Regions from separate parts of the Mus musculus genome. Here all the other regions are reported to be linked to region 3. The links are microRNA targets in miRTarBase. Many come from high-throughput screens and were not tested one by one. Region 3 holds a microRNA gene; each other region holds the end of a gene's coding sequence.
The links. The annotated mature microRNA mmu-miR-127-3p reads UCGGAUCCGUCUGAGCUUGGCU and lies in region 3 at 1,551-1,572, shown strand. An mRNA with a match to its seed (bases 2 to 7 or 8) in the 3' UTR can be bound and repressed. Matches are read on the target gene's strand: a 7mer-m8 pairs with bases 2 to 8, a 7mer-A1 pairs with bases 2 to 7 and ends in A, and an 8mer does both.

Region 1 (3,120 bases), not on the chromosome of region 3:
TTTTGGATAAGACTTGTAATCATGCATTTAAGTCAGGGAAGGACATCTTAAGTCCGAGGGACCCGTGAGCTGAAGGGGAGGCTGGGGCATTTGCACAGTGTATACCTAACCTCCAGTGGAAGCCAAGATTTGTATGGATTCTAAATCTGCCCTTTGAGAGGGAGGAGGTGCCTGCACCCAACCCTCACGGAGTTGCCTCTCTTCTGGGCTTTTGAGCACTGACTCGTTTCTCGAGTGGATGACAGCTAACACTTGGCTTCTGCTGTCTCTTCAGTGTGAGAAGTGTAACCTGCACTTTCGTCACAAAAGCCAACTGCGACTTCATTTGCGCCAGAAGCACGGCGCCATCACCAACACCAAGGTGCAATACCGCGTGTCGGCCGCTGACCTGCCTCCGGAGCTCCCCAAAGCCTGCTGAATGAAGCATGGAGTGTTCCTCGCCCTTTCCTCTCCAGCCCCTTCTCAGAATCTACCCAAAGGATGCTGTAACACTTTATACAAAGGTCATCCCATGATGTAGTGCCTCTCTCATCCACTAGTGCAAATCATAGTTGGGGTGGGGGTGGGGGTGGGGTTTGCGGGACCGGGAGCCAAGGCAGCTCCCCTTCCCACACTGCCATAAAACATTAAGAAAATACTATTGCTTCTTCTCCTATGTGTAAGGCAAACCCTGTCAGCAAAAAGCAAATTCATTTTCTATATCAAAGTAGGGGAGAATGCAGAAGTTCTGACTTGACAGGTTGCAACCGAGGAATGTAAATGATGTGTGGGAACAGAGGTCTCTTTTGTATGTAAATGTGTATTGTTTTAAAAGACAAGACTTCAGTATGCTGTCAAAGAGAAGGCTTTAATTTTTTTAACCAAAGGTGAAGGAATATATGGCAGAGTTGTAAATATATAAATATATATATATATAATATAAATATATAAACCTAAAAAGATATATTGAAAATATAAAACTGTGTTAAAGGCTCGATTTTGTATCTGCAGGCAGACACGGATCTGAGAATCTTTATTGAGAAAGAGCACTTAAGAGACTATTTTAAGTATTGCGTCTGTATAAGTAAGAAAATATTTTGTCTAAAATGCCTCCGTGTATTTGTATTTTTTTGCAAGTGAAGGTTTACAAATTTACAAAGTGTGTATTAAAAACAAAAAGAACAAAAAAAAAAGCTGCAGAAGGAGAAATGTATACTTTTGTTCCAGTTTTCAGTTTGTACATACCTGTAATGTGTCCTCACGGTGCCTTTTTACACGGAAGTTTTCAATGATGGACGGGTGTGCGCCATCCCTTTTTGAAGTGTAGGCAGACACAGGGACTTGAAGTTGTCACTAACTAAACTCTCTTTGGGAATGTTTGACTCCTCCCACATTCTGCGTCATGCTTGTCGTTATAATTACTCCGGAGACAGGGTTTGGCTGTGTCTAAACTGCATTAGTGCGTTGTAAAATAGAGCTGTACAAAACATAAGAATAAAACATTGAAAAGTCGAGCTGGCTCTTTCTGAGGATCTGTCTTTGCATGGAGAGAGATCAGAGTGGTCTTTGCTTCGGTGGGAAATGTTCTAGGGGCGTGGGAGTGGGGCCCGCTGGCCAGTGAGGTATGAGAGAGGAGCTTGGCCTGAGAGCCAGACTGGGGCTTGTCCAGGTAGCTTCCTGCCTATTTTGATCCTGAACACCAGGATCAGCTACAGAGCCCAGACACTAGGCCTGGAGGTCAAGTAGGGTATCTGACCCAGCTCCAAGCCTCACTCTTAATAACTGCAGTCCTTGTTCTTTAGACACAAACGTCATAGTCTCTCCAACCTCTAACGAGTCATAGCCTCTCCCACCTCTGGGATTATTCTTTTCTAAAGTAAGAAGTCCCATCCTGGCTCTGGCTTTAGAAACATATTTTCTTTACTTGGCTACGCCTGGCAGGTCAAAGGCATCCGGCTGAAGCCACACACATCTCTCGGCATCCACGCATTCAGAGCCTCCTGGGTGACCGACAGACATTCACAGACTTGAAAGCTTTATGATTGGCCAGAGGCCAAGCAAGCCTCTACCCCAGTGTCAGAACTCAGCCACCTCCTCCTGTGTGCGTCAGGTCGCTATTTTTGCTGTGGGTCTCTGTCCCAGCCCATCCAAGAGTAGACTGGATTAACGAGACCATTTATGCATCCGTGATTCAGATGTAAGTTCACGCTGGCCTGCTTTGGCACCCGTGGATATTTTACCTCAGAAAACCCCAAGGACCAAGTATGATTGACAGGATCTGAGAACTGGGGAGACAAGTGTGGTTCTGGTAATGGGCCCAGAAGAGAAAGCCTGCGTCCCCTTCCTGTTCCTGGGTGGCAGTGGGGAGGGAACACGTGCCTACTTACTGGTCAGCTCCTGGCAGTGGTGTTGCTGCCGTCTCTGGGCACGTGTTGAGAAGCTAGGGGAGTTGCCCACCCGAAGTCCCAAGAGAGCTTCAGAAAGTCACGCCACCTTCTGCCAACCGCAAGGCCTTGCAGCTCGGGTTTCCTTTGAAAATGACTTTAAAGGACTTGCCAGCTCGAGGCCTCAACTCACCCTGCTCTTTGAAAAGGGGGAAACCGATCCCTCAGCTCCCATAGAAACCTGGCAGAAGAACTTACGGACTAGACAGCTTCAGGAATGACAATTCACGGGCCTGAGGGAAGCTGGCCTCAGGCTCCTTTTGCTCCCGAGAGTCTGTTTTTGTACCATTCCTATTTATGAGGGAGACGGAGGAGCAGACGGGGAGGGTGGCGTTCCGACAAAAGGGAGATCAAAGACTGAGCTACTGCAGTCAGCCGATGATTAATAATAAGTAAAAGGGAAACATCTCTAAACGGAGTTATTAAGAGTATAGCCCACAGCAAAGGGGAGAGAGAATTTTATTACAAAATCATGGAGTGAATGCATTTTCACACACAGACACACACAGACACAGACACACACACAGACAGACAGACACACACACACACACACACACACACACACACAAAGGTGTCTCAAACACTAGGATGTGTTTAAGACTCTCTGCATCATGGAAGTTTTTGAGGGAAAGGTTTACTAGGACCGCAGGTTGAAGTGTGTATTGAGGAAGGTGTATTAGCTTTGGCTTCCGTTCAC
Region 2 (3,120 bases), not on the chromosome of region 3:
AGGGCAGGAACTTGGAGGCAGGAACTGATGAAGAAGCCATAGAGGAGGGGTGCTGCTTACTGCTTGCAGCCTGATTTGTATAGAACCCAGGACCACCAGATTAGAGATGGCACCAACCATAAGGGGCCAGGCCCGCCACATCAGTAACTAAGAAAGTATCCTATAGGCTTTTATACAGCGTGATCTTAGGGAGACATTTTCCCAATTGAGGCTCCCTCCTCTCAGATGATTATAGATTGTATTAAGTTGACATAAAACTGTCCGGGACACTAACAGCGTTGAGTAAAAAAGTTCAGGTTTTTATAAGAGTTATCACTCACTTCTTGAAATTCATTGTCTAAACTTAAAAGTACTTACCCACAAGTACTGGATTTTCAGGCAGTTAGTTTGGAATAGAAACTTCTCTGGTTAGTCCTAAATTCTGTTCTTGATTAAAGAACCAAATGCTTTCTTAATCCTAGGATGTCTGGAGCCCGGATTGTTGTTCATATGGCTCATGCCCTGAAGCCAGGAGAGTTCGGTCTGGCTAGTATTTGCAACGGAGGAGGAGGTGCTTCCGCCCTGCTGATTGAGAAGCTGTAGACAACCTGTTTTAGGAGACAGTTCCATGTGACCGGCTGAAGTAAATGTGACTCCCTTGGGCCAGGTTATATTCAGCATAAGCTATTTCATTTTTTATTATTTTCTACTAAAATTTTTAAAAAATCATATCCAAAAAACACACTTAAATTACAAATAAAAATTTCTTCTTTATTTTATTTTATTTTTTTGTAAACTTAAACAGTTGGATACTCTATTATTTGAAATACCAATATAGGTATTTGAGGCATGGCTCAGCAGTTAAGAGAATTTGTTGCTAGTTGGGTGGTACATGGCTTTAATCCCAGCACTTGGAGATAGAGGCAAGTGGATCTTTCTGAGTTTAAGGCTAGCCTGGTCCACAGAGCTACTTCTATGACAGCCAAGAATACACATAGAAGTAGAAACTCTGGAAACAAACAAACGAACAAAAGAGCATCTGTTGCTCACACAGAAAACATTTGGTTCCCAGGACCCACACTGGGTGACACAGCAGGGAGGACTTGGACACTGCACTGCACGCAGAAACCAGAGAAATGAGGTCCTGTGCTTTTCTACCTCACTGCTGCCGGTACAGCAGAAGCCAGCCTTGGGGATAACCTGTAACCGGGTTCTCTCCTGATGAAGGCAGGGTAAAGTTCCAGCATTTTTACATCTAAATACACCAAAGAAATGAGAATATCACAATAGCAGCAACAAAGTTCCTTGACTCTCCCAAGCCCCAAAATAATCTAACATCCATGGACTTCTATTCTGCCATTAGAATGAACACTGGCTGTTTATGTTTTGTTTTGTTTTCGAACTTTAATCCTTGGACAGTCAAAATTGGTTTCAAATAAAGTTATGTGAATGAAAATTTTAAAAAATATGGTTAAGTCTTCCAAGTGAGCACAAGTTATAGCAATCTATGTCCACCAAGCCAACATAGAAGCTCTTTAAAGGAGTCCTGCAAACAAAACAGAGCAGGAAGCAGCAGTCACAGACCTAAGAGCACAACAAAGAATACATTCCAGGAGAGGAACTGAGAGCCAGGAGAGAGACAGACCATGCCCAACTCAGTAAACCAGAAGAGCTATAGAATGAGGAAGGAAGAAAAAATAGTATTCAAGCCAGCCAGAGAATCAACAGAATTACTGTAATGAGAAAATATCCTCAGCCCAAACTTTTAATGGGCTCAACATAAAATTTAAAAATACTATCTCAAAAACATGATCCACTGGGTGTGCATGCCTTTAAATCCCAGCACTTGGGAGGAAGAGGCAGGAGGATCCGAGTCTACATAGCCAGCTTGGTGTACATAATGAGTTCCAAGACAGCCAGGACTACACAGAGAAAAAAATTCTCTCTTGAAAAGATCAACAAAGTATTGTCTTACAAGAGACCTCATTGGCAAAGACTCATAGACTAAAAGTGGCAGAATGGGAAGCCACGTGCTCTCAAGTAGCACAAAATCAAGTAGGTGTAGCTTTGTCCGTCAGTTATAAAAGCTAGGTTTGAAGCAGCTTGTCAGAGAAGACAAAGAATGTCACTAAACATCAATGAAGGGAACAATCACCAAGAAGACAGAAGAGGACTGGGGAGGTAGCTCAGTCGGTAGTGTTGGCCCAGCAGACCTAAAGCCCTGGGTTCTTTCTTTCTATCCCTGCACTACAGAAACAAGCAGGGAAGGAGGTGGAGTAGAGACTCCATAGAGAGAAACGAACCGAGAAACGATCCAAAAAACTTGTGGTGTGCTGCAGTTTCGTACCTCTTCAATGGACTCGGGCTGATTGGCAAAGTGATGTCAGCGAGACAGATGCTCATGCTGAGACAAGACCCAGGCCCGCAGAGGACTTGGGATGTTTAGAGGCCTGTGATGTTAGGCCCAGCAGACAGTGACGGAGGTTTGGTTGGGCTTGCTTATATACCTAGCTGTGCAACACTTGTGGGTCTGGAGTCTTCACTGGTATTTCCCACTACCTCTAGTGGGAGGTGGGCCAAAAGGGATGTTAAAGCGTTCAAGAACCATCATTAAAAATGGGTGTTGAAAAACATTAAAGTTACAGATGTGGATGAACCAGGAAGGTTCACAAAGTCATGAGGAAAGAAAGAGCAAAGACAAGACTCAGGCTGAAGGTAAAGGACCACATGGTTGGGAAACAGGCAGCCTTAGAGTTAGAACAGCTCAGAACCTGCTCAGCATAGTGTATGCAGCTTGTTAATAAAAATACCATGTCTCTGTTTCATTTATTTGGGAGCTAAAATGGGCTAGAGGTGGCACAGCAATGCCCTGAAGTTATTTGGGAGCAACAGGGACATAAGAAATCCCTCAAATTACTTTTACTTTCACCTTGTACAAAAAAACAGTTTTAAAATGGATCAAAGAAGGTAAGATGTTGATTTATGACTTGAAGCCTTGAAACTCTACAGGAAAACAGGAACAATACAGGAATAGAACAAATACTGACCAGGATTCCAGCAGCCCAGGAAAGCTGAGCAAGAACTGAGAAATGGGATTACACAAAATTGAAAGCTCAGCACAGTAAAGCTAATAGAATGGAA
Region 3 (3,120 bases):
CCTCCTCCTCCCCTTCTTCTTCTTCACCATCTTCCTCCTCCTCCCCTTCTTCTTCTTCATCATCTTCCTCCTCCTCCTCTTCTTCTTCACCATCTTCCTCCTCCTCCCCTTCTTCTTCTTCACCATCTTCCTCCTCCTCCCCTTCTTCTTCTTCACCATCTTCCTCCTCCTCTTCTTCATCATCCTCTTTATCCTCAGTCTCAGAGGATCTGTCAAAGTACCTTAGATTTGCCCTAATGGACATAAGCAGCAGTGGGCGCAGAAACCTTGCTCTGAAGCCTCTCTGGTTCCAACATCTGCGGAAGAGTGCTTGTGTGTCACCTTCAGCTGGCATCTCCATAACACCAAAATTGAAGTGTGAGAAGAAGAAGACCCAATGCCCGGGGAGAAGTACGGTGAGCCTGTCATTATTCAGAGAGGCTAGATCCTCTGTGTTGAGAAGGATCATGATGGGCTCCTCGGTGTTCTCCAGGTAGCGGCACCACACCATGAAGGCAGCCCGGATTGGAAGGATCCTCATCTCCACTCGAGGGTACTCCACCTCCATTGTAGAGAGGGGTCTTGAATAGAAAGCACAGGTAGATTTCTTGCCAGTTTCGTCGTCGGTTTGGACCAGGGAGGCAGACAGGAATGACCCAGTGATGTCTGTTTCCAAGTAGAATGGGTTCTGAGGCTTAGGGTGATAGAGAACGGGCGACTTGCGGAAAGCCCTCTTCAGGGATTCCAAGGCCTCCTGCTCCTCTTCTCCCCAGTAGTAGGGCTCTGAACTCAGCAGTTGTCTCACTAGGGGTGCTGCGATGACAGCGAAGTTCTCCACGAAGTGGCGATAGGGATAGACAAGGTCAATCACACTTTGAAGACACCTCCTGCTGCCAGGGACAGGGCACCCCACGATGAGGTTCATAAGGTTCTTGTTCAGTTTCACCCCTTTGGGGGATATGTTGAAGCCCAAGATTTCAGCGGTCTGGCGATGGAACTGAGTTTTGTCCAGTGAACAGTAGATGTTGTGATACCGAAAGCGGACCAGGACTTGGCGGACATGCTGGGAGTGTTCCTCCTGGCTCATTGAGTAGACCAGGACCTCTCTGCCATGGCAAATCACAAACAACCCTAGGATGTCTTTTAGGATGAAGTGAACAATGTTGTTCCCTTCGTCAGAGTATGAGTTCATTGTGAAGGGCCGGTAGCATCTCATCTGGTGAAGGCCGAAACCGAACGATGCTCTCCAAGTGTCTTCCGTGTGTGTGACCGTGTGCCTCATCTCACTTTCCTTAATCCCAAGCAGCTCCAGTTTTGTGAACCATGCCGCTCCATGTAGCTGGTCGAATAGCTCTGGTACCATCTGCGTGTAGTCTTGTCTGTCAGTCAGCATGTCATACAGTATCCAGTATTCCTCTTGCTCCCTGGCTTTCTCTTGCTGCCTGGCTTTCTCTTGCATCCTGGCGCTCACAGGTTCCAAAGTCTCTCGGGCCCCAGACTCGTAAAAGACGCCGCTTTGATCACTGTCTCCAGCCTGCTGAAGCTCAGAGGGCTCTGATTCAGAAAGATCATCGGATCCGTCTGAGCTTGGCTGGTCGGAAGTCTCATCATCTGCCTCCCTCGGGTTAAACACGTCGGCCAGGTCTGAGTATGTGTGTGGCAATCCGGGCAGTAGGCTTATGCTGTATGTCTCTAGTGCGATGCATGGTGGAGGTGGGGTGAAGCAATTCCGCAGACAGTAGGGAGAGTGGAAGGTACACCGGCCTCTCATCCAGTCGACTTCAGGGGCATGGGTTCGGAGCCACTTCATGCCTAAGACGATGGAGAAGTTGGGCGAAGGTAAGATGTCAAATTCGATGTACTCATAATGCTTCTGGTGGACACATACCAGGGGCTCGGTGCACAGCCAGACGGGTTCATTGCCAATTGGGATGCCATCCACACCTTGGATTATCTGTGGATAAGGCTTCTCATAGAGTTCCACATAGTGTTCCTGGGCAAACCTCTCATCCATGTAGTTCCCTTCTGCTCCTGAGTCCACCAGGGCCCGCACTGCGACACTGTGGTAGGGGTCCACTCTCACCAAGAGCAGTAAGAAGAGGTGATCGCGATCAATGTCTGGGTGGAACTCATTGGGCAGCCAGCTGCTTACCCTCCACTTCTCTGGGGCGGGAGCATCCATCCAGGCTACGCTTCTTGGGCGCGACTCAGGTGGCAGCCTGAGTAATGCTCTTCTCTCTGCCAGCTTTTCTTCAAGTTGCAGGACAAGTACAATCAGGTTGTCTAGGGAATTCGGCTGAGGGATCCGGAACAGATAGTGCCTGATCTCTTCGTTGAGCCCCTGGCACAGGTGGGCCTGCAGGACTTCATCTGGCCAGCCTAAGGTGGGTATCAGACCCCGGAACTCATTGATGTAATCGGCCGCACAGCGGTTCCCCTGCCTGATGTTGAACATGGCGTCTTCCGCCACACGCAGGGTCTGCCGATACTCAAACTTTTCTGACATGGCCTCCAGGAAGGCTGAGAAGTTGTTTATCACTGGGCTGTTCTGCTCTACGAGGTCGTTGGCCCATTCCAAGGCTAGGTCAGTCAGGTGGCGGATGACGAATTTCACCCGCAGCTCATCATTGTATAGCATACTTGGGTAGTTCTGCATTGTCATCTGGCAGAGCACGACAAACTCATGGTAGTCTCTGCGATCTCCAGAGAAGGGCCTGAGGGAGGGCAGGCGACCTTCGTTGATAGCCTGCATCATGAGCCTTTCTGCCACTCTCTGTTGTTCTTTTAGGTCTTGCATCCGGAGGAACAGCGAGATGACGTTCCCCATGGTGGCCACGACTTCTTCTGGAGAGTTCTTGGGCTGACCTTCCTCTTCACCACCTTCCTCTTCCTCCTCTTCCTCGTCATCTCCCAGGTCAGTATCATCTTGGTCTGACTGGGTCTCGGATGAGTTGATTGTTTCATCCATGCTATAATCGGATGCCTCACTGAGTGGTTCCGACCCTTCCTGGTTTGAAATATCACTTGACTGGTTTGAACTGTCGCTTGACTCCTGGTTCGAATTATCGCTTAACTCCTGGTTTGAATTATCACTTAACTCCGGGTTTGAATCATAGCTTGACTCCTTTTGTGAACCATCGC
Region 4 (3,120 bases), not on the chromosome of region 3:
GTTCCCGGACAGTCAAGGTTACATGGAGAACCTGTCTCTAACACCCACTCACCCCCCCACCCCACCCCCCAAAAAAAACCACAGTAAAGGTTCAAAAATGCACCATATATTCTAACATGCATAAGGATTCAATATATACTAAGGGTCTGAAGGTCGTATGATGAACCAAGAAGAGAACAAACAGATGGGCTACCCAGTGCTACAGAAGTTAGTCAACTGCTTGAGGAAGAGATCCAGTTGTACTAAGCAAGAGGAGAAACTGAAAAGGCCGTTAAAACTAAGGGTGGAGCTGGCGAGGTGGCTCAGCAGTTAAGAGCACTGGCTGCTCTTCCAAAGGTCCTGAGTTCAATTCCCAGCAACCACATGGTGGCTCATTTAACCATTATGTGATATGCCTTCTTCCAGCATACATGTGTGCATGCAGATAGAGCACTCATATATATAAAATAAATAAATATTATCTTAAAATCAAAATCAACACCTGAGGGTATAGCATGGAAGCGTGTTCACATAGCATGTGTGAGGTCATAGATCTGATCAGTACTGGGGAGAAGGGACAGAGTCACAAAAAAATTTGGCCGGGCATGGTGGTGCACGCCTTTAATCCCAGCACTCGGGAGGCAGAGGCAGGCGGATCTCTGAGTTCGAGGCCAGCCTGGTCTACAAAGTGACTTCCAGGACAGCCAGGGCTACACAGAGAAACCCTGTCTCATAAAAACCAAAACAAAACAAATCTTCCCGCATCAAAAACAGCAAACAAAGGGAAGAGAAGCATAAACTTATCTGTAAGAAATGAACGACAAACAAAAGATTAACATTCTCAATGAGTTGTTTTTTTAAAGATTTATTTATTCATTTTATGTCTATGACTACACTGTCTTCAGACACACCAGAAGAGGATATCGGATCCCATTACAGATGGTTGTGAGCCACCATGTGGTTGCTGGGAATTGAACTTGGGACATCTGGAAGAGCAGTCAGTCTTAACCGCTGAGCCATCTCCCCTGGCTCTCTCAATGTATTTTTAAGACAAAAATTAATAAGAAAAAGTAGCTTAAGTGATGATGTACCGCTTTCATCTACTGAGTGGTGAATTATAAAATGATGAAAAGGAAGTACGTAATCCCCAGTGCAGACAAGGGCGTTGCCTCCTGCATGTGATGCTGGAAAGAGCAAATTGGCAAATTTTGTTCTTTTACCTAATTCAGTAATTCCACTGTCAAGTAAGTCCCCTAAGGAAGTGCCAGTGAATGTAACCAAAGATTGACAAGAATCTTCACCAATATCGTTTATACTTTTAAAAAACTATAGCCACAGGAGATTAATTAAGACAAGGGAATGCTATGAATTCATTAGGTGTTTTCCATGTTATTAAATGAACTTAATATTAATTAAGGCTTACTATTAAGTAACTTGTTCAAAATACTTTCCCAATGATATCAAAATGTTAAGGTCCAGCTGTTGAGGCCTGTAACCTCAGCCACTTGAGAGGCTGAGGCAAGAGCATTCAAAGTTCAAGGCCTGCCTAGACCTGAGAACTTTTCAGGCCAGCCAAAACTTAGTGAGACCTGCTCAAAACAGAAAATAAAAAGATGCCTGGGGTCTGTCTCAGTGGTAAAGCTCTTGCCTCAAATGCAAATTTAGGTTTATCACAAACAAACAAATACCCAGTATCAAAAAAAATGAAAGGATTTATTTCAGCTTCCTCCCTTACTCCCCAAATGCCCTCCTTTGTGCCAATCTGCCCCTCCACCCCCTACTGAGGCACTTCCCACTCCCTCCCCCGCCACAAAGCTGGGCATCCTCCATGCCATTCTTGGCCTGTCCATCCTTGGGGTAAATCGTTTCCTGTGCCACCTCAACCTTCTTAAAAGACAAACTTCTCCCAATACCCAGCGCCTCCTTCTCTGTCACTCATCTTCCAAGTCTCCCTTTTTCCTGCAGGTGAAGGAAGGCGCTATTTCTTGAATGATTGATTTAAAAGTACAGATCCAATTCAGATACAGGAAAAGAAGTCACTGTTCAGCCTCACTTCGGTGATCTAAGTGACTTTCTGCTCTGCTCTGCCCTAGTGTTGGGATAATCTTGGGCACTGTAAAGGCTGTCTTTGTAGTATTCAGTGTTGATTTTTGAACCAGTAGAGTACTGTCCGGACTTTGGTACTGTTATTTTTATGAAGCATCACCTGCATCGAAGATTGTACACATTCTCCTCTATCACTTCTGATTTGTTTGATAAACAGCTGATGGCTGGGCAGGAGAGTAAAGGTGGGACATCCAAGAAGAGATCGGAACTCTGGGAAGAATTGAGAGGTGGGAGATCTGCCGGCCAGACTTGGAACTTGAATGTACGGGGCTGAGGAGAGGTGATCAGCCAGGTGGTAAACATGGCTAAGCCATAAGGACTAAGCTTTCATAAATAAAGTCTCTTAATCAGTATTCGGGAGCTGGAGGGTTGAGGCAGTCCATCCACACCCTCGTCCCTCCTATCTCCACAGGTATCATGCAGGCTTTCACAACAAGAAGAGAACACACAAAACTATACTTTCTCTTGGGTTTGAACTGGGTCCCTCACACCTAGTCTAGATTAGAGCTGTATATGCTTAGCCTGGAACAAGAATTGAAGCTGAATCATATGATTTCTGTGTATTTTAGATTTAACAGGCACTAGCAGTACTCATTTCTGGAACCAAAGATTAACACCAAGTAAAAGTATGTTACAAAAATCAATCCGTTCTTCTGCCAGCTCTCGACAATTCACACACCAGCTCATCACAAACCTGCCCCGAGACTTGCATCACAACTTCAGCCAACTGGTGGTGCTCGACCACTAGTGGCCAGCCTGGTGCATGGCGTGTTTAGCTACAAACAGCTCTGCTGACTGTCCCTGCAACATTTTCATGGCTCGCCAATAGATCTGTCCGCAGTTCTCAGGTTTACCGAAGGGATGGTTCAATTCTTCCTTGATGTAATCCATCCAAAGATCTTCAAAAGGAACCAAAAAACTACTGTAAACGTAGCTAGAAAACTGGGAAGGCTTTAATTAAGCAAATTTAACTATTAATACTAAGCCAGTTAAAAAGTTCTGAGAAACTTCCGCACATAAAATTAAGAGAATGTA

Region 1: miRTarBase lists Bcl6 as a target of mmu-miR-127-3p. The part of its 3' UTR that is shown has no 7-base or 8-base seed match.
Region 2: miRTarBase lists Acat1 as a target of mmu-miR-127-3p. Seed matches in the 3' UTR shown: 8mer at 1,845-1,852.
Region 4: miRTarBase lists Utp6 as a target of mmu-miR-127-3p. Seed matches in the 3' UTR shown: 8mer at 903-910.

Annotation. Positions count from the first base shown.
Region 1 is chr16:23,963,423-23,966,542 of GRCm38, reverse strand. It overlaps Bcl6 (B cell leukemia/lymphoma 6), which reads left to right. Exons shown (of 10, transcript NM_009744.4): 10 at 275-1,493. The coding sequence ends at 418. Among named protein-coding and RNA genes, the nearest start is that of Gm31527, 23 kb to the left of the region's middle.
Region 2 is chr9:53,580,007-53,583,126 of GRCm38, reverse strand. Acat1 (acetyl-Coenzyme A acetyltransferase 1) reads left to right here. Exons shown (of 12, transcript NM_144784.3): 12 at 462-2,605. The coding sequence ends at 582. Among named protein-coding and RNA genes, the nearest start is that of Acat1, 29 kb to the left of the region's middle.
Region 3 is chr12:109,591,338-109,594,457 of GRCm38, forward strand. It overlaps Mir127 (microRNA 127), which reads left to right and starts at 1,509; the gene lies at 1,509-1,578. It overlaps Rtl1 (retrotransposon Gaglike 1), which reads right to left. Exons shown (of 2, transcript NM_184109.2): 2 at 1-3,120. 6430411K18Rik (RIKEN cDNA 6430411K18 gen) reads left to right here and starts at 200. Exons shown (of 1, transcript NR_002848.3): 1 at 200-1,514. Mir433 (microRNA 433) reads left to right here and starts at 378; the gene lies at 378-501.
Region 4 is chr11:79,933,126-79,936,245 of GRCm38, forward strand. Utp6 (UTP6 small subunit processome component) reads right to left here. Exons shown (of 19, transcript NM_144826.3): 19 at 831-2,984. The coding sequence ends at 2,830. Among named protein-coding and RNA genes, the nearest start is that of Utp6, 28 kb to the right of the region's middle.